Sus scrofa: one gene and its partner. The protein of the gene in region 1 purifies or fractionates together with the protein of each later gene. This does not show direct contact. Links are inferred from orthologs where the notes say so. Each region holds a gene or a part of one and is shown on either strand. Other genes may lie near its edges.

Region 1 (2,983 bases):
AGCATCCATGAGGATACAGGTTCAATCCCTGGCCTTGCTCAGTGGGTTAAAGGATCTGGAGTTGCCATGCACTGTGGTCGTAGACGTGGCTCGGATCCAGCATTACTGTGGCTGTGGCATAGGCCCACAGCTATAGCTCCAATTTGACCGCTAGCCTGTGAAACTCCATATGGCCTGGGTGTGGCCCTAAAAAGACAAAAAAATTTCAGAAAAAAAAGAAAAACTGTAACAATCGAAAGCTTATTATCAGCATCAACAACTAGGGGTAAAAAAGGCTATCTTTGACACTTCTGGGTTCATGGAGTCTAGAAGAATACGGTTTTGTTCTGGGATTCACATACTACCATTCCCAAATGAAGCTATTTTAAGCTGAAATTACTAAGATTGATGCTTGGTTGAAAGCAATGATTTCATAATAATCTGCACAAACCTAGAGACAGGCAGCTTATAAGGTGGGAGTTTCTGAATTCTGGCATTTGGTAGAATGGTTAACTCTTCAAGATCATCTTCAAGGTGGGAACTAAGGCTCTGGGCAGATTCCTGCAATCCAGTAACAAGTAAGTGCTCAAAACCAATGCTGCTCCTAAAGCCGGAAAACCTGCTTTAGCTGTCATCACAAGGACAAAATTCACAACCCGGCTCAGACCATCACAGAAGCATTTATTACCACAGAGGAACTCAGGGGACGCTTGAGCCCACACACAGCAGCCTGGGTGGCATGTGTGATGGGGGATTGGGGGCAGCAGGTGGGAATGCCATCAATCCTGGCTGGGTTAGTCTCCGACCGGCAGGTTTGCTCGGCCCAAATGACTCTGGCTAGGCTTATCTCTGTGGCACTTCGGGAGGTAAGCCTTGACAAGCAGGCTTTCTCCTGGACACAATGAGGGACAGCCAGAACCAGGGCAAGAGCTGCACAGACACTACCTTAAAACGGAAATCAAATTAGGCTCATTGCATCAGGAAGTGCATTTCACCCTGATCATAAAACAAGGGGGAGAGGGCGCACTGGGCTCTAGTAGATAGCCTGTCTTTGAGATAAGATGCTTTTGAAAGTTAAACATGGGCAAGGCCTTTTCCCTTGCTAACAGCAAGCAGCACGCAATTTCCAAACCAGCTTTAAAAGCTATTGTTATCTTTGTTATCTGTTATTATTTGGATTTTGAACAAAATTGATGGAGTAGGAGCCAGTAGAGGAATCCTGTTTGATCTGGAAATTTTCTGTGGAGAGTCCAAAAGGCCGGAGAACCAAGTTCCCAAGATCTTTTAGTTTACCTGCAATGTAAAAGCAAAGTCCAATAAATACAGAGAATCAGCAGAAGCAGGACGACACCAACTGATCTTGCCTCACTTATCTGATTAGAAAGCAGAAAGAGTATCTCTCCGCAGTTAGAGAAATCCCTCTTTTAAAATTACGAAAGCTGCAGCTCCCAGGGTGCCTGAGCAGTACAGTCACTTCAGAGCCATCCAGCCCTGAGCCACTGCTTGCCTATGCAGATGAATGTGAGGGAGCCTGGCTGGAGAGCGAAGCTTCCCATTCAGACTGACCAGAGCCACTTGGAGGACACAGGCTCTGGGGTGAGCGGTGGCCTGCTCCCATGGCTGCTTGGCGGGGAGGGCAGGGGTCCCCCCAAGGCTCTATGAAACAGCAGAGCAGCTTGCTGAATCTAATTCTACTCTCCAGGTTGCTACTAAACCTGGGTTCAAACTCAAGAGCTGCTAGCTCTGGGGCGTTCCCATCGTGGCGCAGTGGTTAAGGAATCCCACTAGGAACCATGAGGGTGCGGGTTCCATCCCTGGCCTTGCGCCGTGGGTTAAGGATCCAGCGTTGCTGTGGCTGTGGTGTAGGCCGGTGGCTGCAGCTCCGATTGGACCCCTAGCCTGGGAACCTCCATATGCTGCGGGAGCGGCCCTAGAAAAGGAAAGAAAAAAAAAAAAAAAAAAAAAAAGAGCTGCTAGCTCTAAGTAAAGCCTTAGCTTCCACACAAAACATTTGTGGGGAAACGGGAGATCTTGTTCACTTGCACAGCATCATCAACCTCAACAGTCCAGTTCTCCTGCCCTGGAGTTTCAAGCTTTACTTACTCATCACCAGGAGAGTTCATGTCATAATGCCAAATTTAAGACATGTAATGTAACCATGTATTTTTATGCTGATTCTACATACAAGAGGGCCATGGAGAAGTTCCCATTGTGACTCAGCGGAAACAAATCTGACTAGCATCCATTAGGACGCAGGTTCGATCCCTGGCCTCACTCAATGAGTTAAGGATCCAACATTGCTGTGAGCTGTGGTGTAGGTCATAGATGTGGTTCCGATCTAGCATTGCTGTGGCTGTGGTGTAGGCCAGCAGCTGTACCTCTGATTTGACCCCTAGCATGGGAACTCCATATGCTGTGCGGGCAGCCCTAAAGAGCAAAACAAAGTTTCCAGGATATCTGAGAGATTTATAGAGATTTGTGGGGCAATAGGATGGAATATTTGAAACTAGGAGTATTTTGAATTTTTTTTTTTTTTTTTGTCTTTTTAGGGCTGCCCCTGCAGCATATGGAAAATTTTGCCCCCAGAAGCTCATCATATTCTGAGAAGGCTCCTAAAACCCAGACTGACCACTCTCCAGGCAGGCTTCCCAAACTTAAAACTGTAACACACATGCTTAGTGCTGCTGATTAAGGAGAATCACTGGCACAGGCCTCGTCCTTGCACACAGGTGGCAGAACAGAGAGGCCGAGAGCCCAGCTGTGGGCAGATGGATGCATGAATAGGGGATCACAATAAGCCAATAAAAGACAGGGCCTCCCCAGGATAACATGAGTTAGCCAGAGCTCTGGCAGTCTGTCTGTGCTGGGGTTGGGGAGAGAGAACAGGGAGGCAACAAACATTTAAAGAAGCCCAATAAAATGTCACTGCTGCTACAATTCTTGGCTCTTCTGACATGGAATGAGTGAAGTGAGGCATCTCATGCCACATGTCTCAGGAGGAGCC
Region 2 (3,652 bases), on another chromosome or scaffold:
GGCCATGCTATGGCAAGCACTCACCCGCAGGTGCCGGTTCTCCTCCGACAGCTTCACCATCTCTCCCTGGAGCCGCTTGCACTCCTCCACCAGCTTCCTGGTGTCCGCATCGCTGAGGGAAACACTGTGCGGCTTTGGCACCGGCCCATCCTGCTTGGCGGCGTTCAGGGGCGCAGCTTTGCTGGGCTCCATGTCGTTCTGCATCACAAAGACAGTGGATCGGAGTTCTTTTAAAGGACTCAATCTTCTCACAGGTTTTAAACAAAAATTTAAACTCCACATCCTTCTCCAAAAAATTATTTAAATGAAAAGTCTTCCCAATTTTCAATTTCACTATTAGGAAGTTTTTAAAATACCAAATGTTTAGTCATCTGTCCACCTTCAGGACTAAGTTAGTGAGTGTTGGCAGGCGGTCAGGGAGGTCGGCAGGAGCAGCACACTCCCTCCTGTGCGCCCATGGCCCTGAGCACTCACTCCACCACAGAGCAATAGTGGACCCGGAGTGTCCTCCCTACCAAACCTCAAAGGCAGGGAGACAAGAGTCAGCTCTCTGTACACTGACCCCTAAATCCAGCACTTGGGCCAACAGCAGTTACTCCGTAAGTACAAAAAGCGCCACCAACCAAAATCCAAACATGAAGTTCATTGTCAGTGCTCTGACTCTGCACTTCCAAGGAGGCTCTGGAGCAAAAGGGGAGTTCACTGCAATCCTTCCAATAAAATGAGACTATCCAAAAAGAACATTTCAAAGGAAACCTAACTTCTACCAATGGAAAAAAAAAAAAAAGCTGAAGGATAGAAACACTGAAGGGGAAAATAATGAAGACAAAGATGTGTCATGGGAACAAAAGGCGAAAGTCAGTTTCATGACGTTAAGGACACACGACCATAACTGAGAACACGCCTGCTTATGAATTCAACACGGAAATCACACTGGTATTCAAGCACTTTTAAAATTGTGAGCCCCAGGGGTTCCCCTTGTGGCTCAGCGGTAATGAACCTGACTAGTACCCATGAGAATGCAGGTTCGATCCCTGGCCCTGCTTAGTGGGTTAAGGATCCAGTGTTGCCATGAGGTGTGGTGTAGGTCACAGGTTCGGCTTAGATCTGGTGTCACTGCTGCTATGGCGTAAGCCAGCAGCTGTAGCTCCATTTGGATCCCTAGCCTGGGAACTTCCATATGCTGCAGGTGCAGCCTAAAAAGACACACACACAAAAATCTGTAAGCCCCCAATCTTCAGTCCTGCCAGAACTCACATGCATGACACCAGTGGCAAAGGCTCAGAGACACACACAGAGGTCAGGGTCCTGAGCCTGTGGCCTCAGCGCCCTTTCCCCAGAATCATCCACACCATCACACACACCCTACCCAAATGCATGCACCAAGTCTCATCCTTAACTTTTCAGATGGAAGGGTAGAAACATCTAACAAAAACCATTTCCAAAATCAACTATAGCATTCCACAGCACTCACCAGTCTAACTGTAGGTTACACACCTGCCACAGCACCCAGCTCCTGACTTTATATTAAGTATATACTGTTTGTTCAAGGGACAAAACTACTATTTCTTATGAAGAGAATGTGATTTGATCACTGCTGTCTAAATTCATGTAAAAATTACTAGTATTATAATGAAGTTCCGGTCAACATTCTGAGTTTTCATTTTCTTCGGAAGCTTCCCAGCTGTGACGAGTTTTTAGGAAGTCTGCTTCAATGTTCTCTGTCTTCTTCTCCCGTCTTTCCTGTTGTCCGCTCTAACCTCCCGTCGTCCTCACTGATCCCATCACTATTATTAAAAATTCTGTTTTAGATATATTTTGCTCTCTACCAACTCAGAACATGAGTACCCATGAGAGTGGGTGGGCTTCAGAAAACAAGAATTGTGCAAATGGAGCAAACCTTGCTCTAAAGATGAAGGCAAACAGGCAACAGCAGGGCAACCGAGCAATCTTCAGGTCTGGGCAAAAATACCACAGAAAGTTAACTAAAAAATTAAGAGGAGGGTACAAGAGGCCAACCAGAGGGGAAAAAATTAAAACGAGGAATCCTCAAACTCTTCACGACTGGCTTTCAATTTTTAAACAAATTCTTAAAACTCCAGAAAATTGAGGATTTTGAAAGAGAGAGGAACTCACCACCCTCTCATCAACCCAACATAACCATTATTTATATATTATCTTCCAATATTTTCTCATATGCATGGGGTTTTTGTTTTTGCTTTTGTTTTTTTTTGCTGTTTAGAGCCGCACCTGCAGCTTATGTGAGTTCCCAGGCCAGGGGTGGAATCGGACTCAATGAGCGAGGCCAGGAATTGAATCTGCATCCTCGTGGATACTAGTCAGAGTCGCTGCCACTGTGCCACAATGGTAACTCCCTCATATGCATAGCTTCTAAAATCAGCATACATGTAATGCTTTTATCATTCATGTATGCAAACTTATTTTAATTATTTTATTTTTATTTTTAGGGCCACAGGAGCAGGCCAGGGGTCAAATGGGAGCTGCAGCTGCCTGCCTACACCACAGCCACAGCAACGCCATATCTGTACCATGTCTGCAACCTACACCACAGCTCAGGGCAATGCTGGATCCTCAACCCACTGAGCAGGGCCAGGGATCAAACCCACATCCTCATGGATATTAGTCGGGTTTGTTAACACTGAGCCACAATGAGAACTCCTTAACTATTACTTTAAATGACATGATGTCATTAAATATTCTATCCTGTGCCTTATCAAAATGACTTAAACACCTCACTCCTGTTAGTTGATGGGTAGCTTCCCACTCTTTGGGATTTTAAATAACATTAATCAATATCTTCTCATGGTGGCAGAATTAGATTTTTCTTTTTATTGAAATGTTTCTCAATGTTATTATGTTGCTTTTATAAGGAAAAGGAGAAGAAACCAATTTGAGTGTCATAACCAATTTGTGGAGCATAAATGTGGGAAGACTGGAATGCAAAAGATACAGTGAAGCTTAAACACATTTCAAAAATGAGCCAAATAAGTCATGGAAAAGTTACACTGAGTGTACTTATATCATGGACTCAGTGTCATTCAGGCCCCTACAAACCAGTCAACATAAAGACTAGATGCAAAGAAGTCTAATTTATTTACAGATTAATTTATTTAAAGTAGAAGCACACATAACCTAACCAGGATGGGGGGTGGGAGGGTTGAGGGGGTGGGGGGACGAGCCATTTGAGTAGCAACAATCTGAAGAGCCTGATGGAAACACTAAGGCTGCTGAGACTAAACTACACTCGTCCATCCAGGAGCGCCACAGGGAGGTTTGGCTCCAGGAAAACAGCGTGTTCGGTGAGAGGTGCTTCAGACTGGTCCAGAATGAGGAGACTGGTTGTTCTGAGAACCATGAAACAAGCAAACTGGAGGGACTCGACATGCTGTGACTTAGGCAATGATGAAGAGCAACATGACATTAACACAGTATCTAAAACTGCAACTAGAAGAAACTGAAGATCAAGGTCGTAAAAAAAATGATTATTTTGTACAATTTCCGCTATTCTATATTATTTAGCCTATCTGCAATAATCCCCCTCCATCTATGAGTTGAACTTACTTCTCTGTTTTTTTTTTTTTTCCCAGCCATCTCCAGAATTTCAGTTCCAATATTCTAAGTTATTCCTTTT

What was found. The genes of interacting proteins can lie anywhere in the genome.
Region 2: the proteins of TTC1 (region 1) and VAPA purify together in Homo sapiens (affinity purification with mass spectrometry; 5 studies listed by BioGRID and IntAct, counting the BioPlex papers as one, with this or other methods). This does not show direct contact. The link is inferred for Sus scrofa from reciprocal best matches to the Homo sapiens genes TTC1 and VAPA.

What each region holds. Positions count from the first base shown.
Region 1 is NC_010458.4:63,457,710-63,460,692, forward strand, and holds the end of TTC1 (tetratricopeptide repeat protein 1), read right to left. Parts: intron 1,273-2,983; coding exon 1,139-1,272; 3' UTR 647-1,138; downstream 1-646.
Region 2 is NC_010448.4:98,216,218-98,219,869, forward strand, and holds part of VAPA (vesicle-associated membrane protein-associated protein A), read right to left. Parts: intron 199-3,652; coding exon 25-198; intron 1-24. UniProt on the Homo sapiens protein: Endoplasmic reticulum (ER)-anchored protein that mediates the formation of contact sites between the ER and endosomes via interaction with FFAT motif-containing proteins such as STARD3 or WDR44.